Linked DNA regions of Ovis aries. The protein of the gene in region 2 purifies or fractionates together with the protein of the main gene of each other region. This does not show direct contact. Links are inferred from orthologs where the notes say so. Each region holds a gene or a part of one and is shown on either strand. Other genes may lie near its edges. The genes, in order: RNF7 and ASB2.

Region 1 (4,533 bases), on a different chromosome or scaffold from region 2:
ATGGACTCATTCACTAGCTGAAAGCAGTCAAAGTTGGGTGAAAGGAAGTTCAAACTAACAGAAAAAAAAAAAAGATTTTAATATAAATTAGAGAAAAATTCTATAAAAATAGAAACAGGATAGAGTTGAAGCCTACTTCTTTTCTTACACTGGATTATGCTCAGGCATTTGTTTGCTCCTCTCTGCATGCTCTTACCCTTAAAAAAAACACACTACCCTGGCCTCTTCAGTGTGGATTAAAAACCACCACTGCCTCCTGAGGCTTTCTTCAATTTCACAGTTACTGAGTACCTACCCTGTGCAAAGAGTAATGCCTGGGGGCCACCAAAATGACCAAGTCTGGGTCCCTGGTCTCACCAGTAAATGGGAAAGTGGATAGGTAAACAGTTAAATATCGCAAGGATCATGATATAAGGGGGAAGACATGCCTCTGGTTCTGTGCAGTCACAGAAAGTTCAGGATCCCAACTGTCTCTTTTACAAGTTAGGAAAACAAGGCTCCAGAAGGTTATGTCAAACGTCCAAGTTAACAGATAGCTGTGGAAGGTTACTCTGGCTCTTTATCCCTTGACAATACAAGCAAACCTCGTCCCCTCTTCCTCACCGGTGCTTGCTAGCAGCTCCTTTCCCAATAAAGTCGGCAGAGTGGAAACCAAGGAAGAGTGTCTTAACCACATTAGAATGGGCTGACTGGCAATTCTTAGATCAAGAAGTTATAACAAATCATTTAGGTGTATGAGATGAATTCAAATATCAAGGACACAGGATTAAGTGGGCTTTTTATAGAATCTAGAAGTCTCTGAATCATGCCTACGGCTTTTATTTAGATTCACTATCAACAACTGATCTGAACAGATAAAAATTCCTAAAGTTTCATATAAAAGAAAACATTTTCCTTTGATGATGTTCTTAATATCTAAAACAGCGCATTTCTAAGGAGTACAGTAACACCTTTTAGAATGATGCCAGAAAACACACTTCCTTCTGCTGTCACCTGACCACCAAATAGATTTTAACACCTCATAAACACAATACAGAGGTCTAGCCCAGAATACTTTTCTGAACCCAAAGTACAGCTGTTGTAAATATGAAACATTAATCCACAGTAGCAAATACTTGTTATAATTAGAAAGTTAATGTGAGAAGTGAGTCATTTATAGCCCATACTTTGACTTACCTTAAATATCCCAGTAAAGTTTATTTCTTGCAAACTTTCAACCATTATTTTATATTTTGCATTTCTACCTACTAATTTAAAATTTTTCTTTGGGGAGAAAAATAAGATGCTCTTTTAGGAAAATTATTTTAAACTAAAAAAGAAAAAAAATCCCACAAACTGGAAGTTATGATTCTAGCTTTCAAGAAAGGGTTAGGGCAAGGGGGCTGTATTGCAGGCCCATAAACTAAGTACCTAAAAACCCGATACACAAAATAAGTCGATCACATCTGAAATCTAGTTCTTTTAAAAAGTAAAAAAATATTTGAATCCCATAGTTGCAAATTCTCTTTAAAACAAATTCCTACGAATAAAAAACATAAGTGCATACTACAGAGAGAGTAAATTGAGAAATCTCTTGTTTCTGGTAGGTCTAAATTTTCAATGCTCAAGAAGGGAAAGCATCTTTTAAGTTACTTTCTCCAACTGTCTCATTTTTCAGTGCAAGACACAAAGTTTTCAAACTACAGAAGCCTCAGTTTTCTCCAATTACCTTCAAGAAATGACATTTAAGACACTCTTAAATGCTGTAGTTTTAAATGCCCTATTTAAAAATATAACGTGCATTTAAACAGCAACTCTTTTTTAAGGTCGTCTAAGATCTTAAAACAGAGACCATATAAAACACAACGAGATGAAGCTGCTCTGAAAGGCTTCACGTGGTCCAATATTTTCATTAAAAATATCATAGAAAGAAGTAACAAGTTTGCAAAAGAGGGCTTTCCAGAAAGGCCAGACTTGAGGGCACTACCCTTCTCCAAGAAATTGCATGCTAGGATGGGGAGTGGCCAGTAAAGAGATGAAGCTTCATGTCTCTGAATAAAAGGGTTTACATTCTTCTAGTTCAAGCCAACCGAGTGCGATCTGACCAATCTTGAATCATCCAGGTTTAAAAGCCAGCAGAACAGTAGCCAATCTAGAAAGGGGACGGCTAGGAACACTCTTCTTCCCTGCGCCTCTCCAGAGCACGACTAGCGGCCGTTTGGGGGGAAAATGACTCCAGAGCATCACTTTGGTGTGTGACCAGAACCATCCGACTGACCCGCTGACTCAGGGCCTTGACCTTGACCTCTGTGTGGTTTGCTTTCGGAAAAGGGTGCGGTCGCTGGCCACACAAACCGAAGTGGTTCCTCCCAGCTCCCGTCAAATCACCTACTTTTATTGTCGTGATCACACCGATCACTACTGGAAATGACCTTGTTTAACTGTCCTGCCTGCTACCCCCCTATTCCCCCAGAATACCCGTCCCCGGCACAAGTCGCCTGCTGAACGACCAGCTCGGGCGTGGCCCGCGGTCTCCTGGGGCCGGGGCAGGGCGATCCCGCCCCTACTCCTCCCGGAACGGTCTCTCCAAGGCTTGGTCCTTCCCCCCACGCCCGAAGCCGGGCCTGCGGAGGCCGCAGCACAGCCGGGGCCTCGCCTGCTGCGCTTACCCATCACCTGGACCCTGCAGATGGCGCACGTATCGCACTCCACGTCCCAGCTCCACATGGCCACCGCGTTCCACTTCTTGAGAGAGAACATTTTGTCACCGCCCGACTTGGATCCTGCGCTCCCCGAGTGAGAGGACAGGGCACAGGGTTCCTCACCGTCTTCCACGTCGGCCATAGCGGCGGCGCGGAGCCGGCGACGGAGACGTTGGGTCGTGGGAGGCGGGCGGCTATGGCGGCTCAGTGGGGCCGTCCGACGGGCCACAGCGCCGCCCGCAGGCCACGGGCCGCCGCGGGGGTCTAGGACCGTGGGGCGCCCGTGATTGGCTGGCGCGGCCCAGTGACGTCACCGTACGCCGGCACCAGCGGCTTCCCGGTGTCCTAGTTCCCGGTACTCGCGTCCCCAACGCCCGGCCAGCTCAGCGGGGTGAGGGACCCCGGACCGACCCTGCGCGGGGGAGACACGTGTCCTGCTTTATGTCTTCATGACACCGCTTTTAGACGTTGTCTTGTTGATATATTCGTCCTTCTCAAATGTAAACGCCCTGGGGGGAGCGGGGACTATTTCTTTTTTCTTTTTGGGTGGGGGGACTATTTCTTGATCATCTCCTTCGTTAAGAAATGCTGTCTCGGGAGGGACAGTTATATGTTGAGTGAATGAATGACGAGCTAGGAATCTGGTTCAACAGTTCTCAAATATTTTGGTCTTGGGACCCCTTTACACTTAAAAATTACTTAAGGACATTTAAGAACTTTTGTTTGTATAGGATGGATGTGTACATATACACGCTTATACATATGTATTTCCTTTTTAAGAAAACGGGGGAAATGTGAATATATTAATTCACTTCAAAACAGTAAGAAATCCATTACAAGTTATCCTTAGAATACCAATATTGTACACTCACAAGAGAGAATGAAGAGAAATAGCTATGAGTGCTGTGCTGTGCTTCGTCGCTCAGTCGTGTCCGACTGTGCAGATCCCATGGACTGTATGTAGCCCGCCAGGCTTCTCTGTCCATAGGATTTTCCAGGCAAGAATACTGGAGTGGGTAGCCATTCCCTTCCCCAGGGGATCTTCCCAACCCAGGAATTCAACCGGGGTCTCCTGCATTACAGGCGGATTGTTTACCAGCTGAGCTACCTGGGAAGCTCAGAGCTATGAATACTGTTATGTAAATATGTAAATAGTTTTGACCTTGTTGGTCCCCTGAAAGACTTCCAGGAACCCTGGAGACCACACTCTAAGAAACTTAAATCTAGTTTAACTTTTTATGTGTAGGAATACTGAAGTCCCCAAAAGTAATTTATAGTAATTCTGCTATATTTATAAAAGTAATTTATAGTAATTCAGAAAAGTAATTCTGCTATTCTGAGAAGGTGACAGTGGAAACTAAGGTTCTTCTGTTACTAGCCCAGGGTCATGTTATGTTTTCCCAAGCAAAGCAGATAACATCTTCTTTTAAAAGATACCGAAGCTGAGGCATGGAGACCGGAAGATGCTTGGTCACACTACCACCTAGTGGTGGCCACCTGCTGTGTCAGGATTAGGACTCAGAGCTTCGCACCTCTTTTTATTTTAATGATGAGGGTCTCATCATTCCCTCATCTCCTGGTGTCAGGCCTGGTGCCCCTGGGTCTAGGCTAACCAAACTTCAGAACTCTGGCAGAGGAGTCAAGGAGGCATTAAATGTGTAACGATACAAATATGGACACAGGGTCACATTTGGCCACATGTGCTGTTTGTTGGGTGGTGCATTAAGTGCTGTCAGAGACAGAAACCTTCCTCAAGACAGATGGAGTGAGGGAGTGAGGGAAAGCCTCATAGAAGAGGTTAAGTTTGAACTCGGCGGGAGATGGGAGGCCTTGGAGGCCAGGAAGTAAATGG
Region 2 (4,558 bases):
TAATTTTCAAAAGCTGAGTGCAAGCACAGGCAACAGGATTTGGAGACCGAGTTTCTCCAGCTTTCTTCTCTATGAGGTTTGTCTGGACTAGGAGGGAGGGGCAAGACAGAGGGCCACCTGAGAAGGGGCCCTGTCCCTGCCCACAGCCCAGTCCTCCCAGGCAGGCCAGATCTGGGATCTGTGACATAGAAAGCAGTGGTATCTGTGCCCTTAATCTGGCAGGGATCCCAAGGAAGAAGTAGGACTCCAAGGACACACTCCATGGAACCTGCTAGAACTTCTTCCTGCCAAGAAAAATCCCCAAACAGTAAAAAGCCCTGGACAGCCCCCTCTCCCCTTGCATCCCTATCATGGCACATGGCCTAGGGGTGCTATGTGTGAACTGACCTTTCGGGGTCATCAGCCACAGTGGCCTGGAGGGACTGTCCCAAGTGAGGGTGAGGCTAGTAGCTGGGAGACAGCCTGGGACTCATCATCCCCTCCTGTCCTCAGCCCCAGGTCAGCCTCTAGAACACTGACCCGACTACAGGGCTCCCTGAACTCACTAAGACTAATTTCCAGACGGAATATGCAAAGTGAGCCACTCTGTGGGGTCGCAAGTCCAATATCCTGCAAGGGGAAGTGATCTCTGAAATGGAAATTATTTTCCATTTAGAGGAGTGGACCAAGTGACATTTCCAGCTTCCCCGACTCCGTAACCTGAGATCTGAGCGCAGACATGGGCATGTGGGTGCCTGGCATCGTGCATGCTCAGGGCGTGTGCCCGTATGTGTGCAGTCTTTGCCACCCGAGGCTAACATTTTGGGCTACTCCATCGAGTCCAGAAGCAGAGAATTTCTTCCCTGGGCCTGAAGGAAGGGCTCCACTGCCGCTGCCCGGGGCTTGCCCACAGGCTTATTTGTTCATCTGTTCCCCTGCCCACCCCACAGACTCCAGCAGCTGGATTCCCACCCTGGGACCCCCAAATATCAGGCTCTGCCACCTGCTACTCACAAAGGCCCCAGCAGTGAACCGCGCATCCTCGCTTCCCTCTTGCTCAGCCCTTCTTCCTCCCTGCCTTCCAGCCTGCTCTCAGTCTCCCTCCGTCCCCTCTTCCTTCCCAGCCTCCCCGACTCCCCTCCTTCCTCCTCTCTTCTCTCCATCCTTTCTTCCCGCTTTTCTGCTTTTCTCTCTCTTCTCTTCCCTTCTCCTCTCTCCCACAATTCCCTCCTTGCTCTTGCTTCCAGCTTTCTCTCCCAGCTCTGTGTCTTACTCTCTGCATCTCTCTCCTCTCTCGCTCCCTCCTGGGGAGTTCCAGAAACATACCCATATATGGCCTCCGTGTCAAGGATCAGAAGTGATGACGTCACGGGAGAGCCAAAGCTCCGAGATGCTCTCCGAAGTCAAGTCCGTAATTGACGCGGCCTGGAGGAGACCAGGATCGTGGCTTCCTCGGTGCAATCTTTAAACAGGAAATCTGAGATTCATAACATCTTATAGTTTGGCTTGCCATCATTGGTCATGCGATGGGCCCGAAATAAACTCCCTGCTTCAAAGGAGAGCGTTTCAGAACTGCCTGGCAGAGCAGTCAGAAGCCCAGGGCCAGGGCTGAAGGCAAACTCAGGGAGCACGTTCTGAATTAAGACACTCTCAGGAAAAATCCTTTTTCTTACCCTTGAATTTTACCCTTGTTTCAGAGCCTAACAGGTAATGCATGCTTTCAACTTTCTTATGCAGAAAGACTGCTTGTCGGGCTGGGACTTAACCGCTGTGGTGTCAAAGTATGTTTGTGTGTCTCCCTCTTTCTCCTATTCTCTTGAGTTATTAAAGCAGGCTGGTGACTTTTATTTTGGATTGGGGGCACAGAGAATCAGCCGTTTGCATGTACTTGTCCAATCTTCCAGAGGATTCTTGCTCAGAGTATCATTCTACTGTGTACTTCTAAAAATGGCAATGCAAAAGGAGTTATCAATGATGCTATTGTTGGTTCTATAGGCCTTGGGCAATGTCTGTATCAGACAAATGACTTTCAGAAATGCTTTTAGGTTGAAGGAGGAGATATTTTCATGCACGGGGGCATTAATTGCATGTGCCATTTATGGAGTGTCTATGGAACATCTATGTATGGGCAGGATTGTGTGTATGTGTGTGGGGGAGTGGTGGTGGTGATAGCAACCTTGGATGCCACGAGCTGTATTTGCAATAACTTGGCATTTAGGAAAGGAAATAGAATCTGCAAACAAAACTAAGATACCACGTAAAGAATGAAAAAGGGTGTGTGTGTAAACACGAGGACGCATTCAAGGAAGTGCTGGCCCTTGAAAAGATGGATGGATGTCTCAGATGCACGGAGGGTGGGTGGGACAGGGACCTCCAGCTGGAGGATCTGCTCGGGCAAAGGCAGACAAGCTGGGGTGGGTCTGCGGAGATAGTAGGGAGAGCCGTGTGGTTATAGCCAAGGGTCAGGAGGTGAGAAGTAGTGGTGATGCTAGAAGGGGAAGTCAGGAATGGGGGCAGGCGTAGGAGATACTGCTGCCACCAGGCCAGGCAAGAGGATGGAACACATTCTGATCATTTTTGAGCAGAGGAGCAGTGGGGAGGATCTGACTTCAGGCAGCTCCCTGCAAAGCCAGGGGAACGAGGAGGCAGGGAGGCAGAGACCCTTAGGTAAGTCATTAAGGCCTGAGTCAGGTCAGAAGTTGAGCCCCCAGCACAGGATAGAAGAGCTTGCCTCGACAACGGGAAAGTTTATGCACGAGGCAGCCGTTGAGGGAGTTCACAAGCACCCAGGCAGAGCCAGCGGGGCCAGCGCACCAGCCACAGCCCCTGACCTCTGCGGTCTGAGGCCCAGGGCAGAGCACAGTGGGGCAGCCAGGGGCAGACTCCAGTCACTTCTGCAACAGTTGGACAGGTCCCGAGAGCTGATGGCAGGCCTGTTTACAGCACAGCCCCCTCCAGGACTGGCGGCTGCCACCACCTGGCAGCCTTCCAGGTTGCATCATCCATTCTTGCACAAACAGTCCAGCCCACGAGGGCCTGGTAGGAGGGGAGGGCATCACCTTCTTCCTCCTCCTTGGGGTGGGGACCATGTGTGATCCACCCCTGGTGACCTGACAATGAATAAGAGCACTCGTACCTGAGCCTTCACTGAGCATTCACCGTGAGCCAGGTGCTGGCCCAGCGCTTGTGCTAGTTCCTCTCACTGACTCTTCTGGGCAGCACGAATTAGAAATGATGGTCACTCCCATTTCCCAAAGGTGGAAACTGAGGTCCCGAGAGGTTAAGGGTCTCATCTAAAGCCAGAGAGCTAGGAGGTGTTGGAGATGGGACTCAAATGCTGGCCTCTTAGCGGATGGGCCTCCAGTGCCCACAGCCTAAGCCATGGTCTCTGAGGTCCCCCAGGGAACCAGCACTGCAGTAAACAGACCCGTCCTGGCACCAATGAACCATCATAAGGTGCTGTACAATGTGAACAAGCTGAATCCAAAACAGTCTTCCCAAAGGAGGCACAAAAATATCCCTGGACCCGCCCACTGTCCTTCCACTGCTGAGCAGAAGAGGGTCAGGCTTCCTGGTGGGGGCAGCTGTCACAGGACTTGTTTATATCTTTACTTCTCATCCTCAGCACCTTCTTTTGAACCAATTAATGCTTGGGAGTATAAATGAATTGTTAAGAGCTTTGTGGCCGAGGAAAACGTTGTGGGGAGGTGATGGTAGCACTGAACTCATGCTCAGTCGCTCAGTCATGTCTGACTCTTCATGACCCTATGGACGCTATAGCCCCCCAGGTTCCTCTGTTCATGGGATTTTCCATACGGAAGTCAGGTGATTCCTAACCTGCCTGCATTGTTTAAAGAAAAGGAGACAGAAGAGAAGGGTAGAAAAGACAGGAAAAGTAGAGGGAGGAGAAGAAAAAGATTTAAGCAAAGGCAGGAGAACAAGAGCAAGCAAACAAACAGAAACAAAAAGGAGAAGGATCCTAGCTGATTTTGGAGTGATCTAGAATAAAAGATTTCCAGCCAGCCCTGTATGTGGTTAGGCTGGGTGAGGAGAGAGAGAGCTCTGGGAGAGCACCCCTGCACCACCTGAGACTTTCTCTTCTGGAGCCTGGAGTTAGAGCTTCCAGAACATTCTACTACCCATGGGTCAAGATGAGAAAGAGTCCATGTTCTCCGGGTGCCCAGAATAGGGCTGGGCAAGGCCATACTTGGGCTTCCTGGATGGCGCTAGTGGTAAAGAACCTGCCCACCAATGCAGGAGACATGAGACGCGGGTTCGATCCCTGGGTGGGGAAGATCCCCTGAAAGAGGGCTTGGCAACCCGCTGCCTGGAGAATTCCGTGGACAGAGGAGCCTGGTGGGCTATACTCCATAGGGTCGCGAAGAGTAGGACAAGACTGAAGCAACTTAGCATGCAAGGCCATACTTGGCCTGTGAGGGCTGGGGCAACAGTGATCAGAGGCTCAGACCTACACGGGGGAGCCCGGCCCCTTCTCATCCCCAGCCCAGGCTTCTGGCACAAGGCAAAGCCTAGCATTCGCTGAGCCCTGGGCAGAAACCGGGGCGGGGGTCTCGAGTAC

The links.
Region 1: the proteins of ASB2 (region 2) and RNF7 purify together in Homo sapiens (affinity purification with western blotting; 3 studies listed by BioGRID and IntAct, with this or other methods). This does not show direct contact. The link is inferred for Ovis aries from reciprocal best matches to the Homo sapiens genes ASB2 and RNF7.

What each region holds. Positions count from the first base shown.
Region 1 is NC_056054.1:247,817,431-247,821,963, forward strand, and holds the start of RNF7 (RING-box protein 2), read right to left. Parts: upstream 2,853-4,533; 5' UTR 2,824-2,852; coding exon 2,649-2,823; intron 1-2,648. UniProt on the Homo sapiens protein: Catalytic component of multiple cullin-5-RING E3 ubiquitin-protein ligase complexes (ECS complexes), which mediate the ubiquitination and subsequent proteasomal degradation of target proteins.
Region 2 is NC_056071.1:56,361,920-56,366,477, reverse strand, and holds the start of ASB2 (ankyrin repeat and SOCS box protein 2), read left to right. Parts: upstream 1-1,560; 5' UTR 1,561-1,686; intron 1,687-4,558. UniProt on the Homo sapiens protein: Substrate-recognition component of a SCF-like ECS (Elongin-Cullin-SOCS-box protein) E3 ubiquitin-protein ligase complex which mediates the ubiquitination and subsequent proteasomal degradation of target proteins.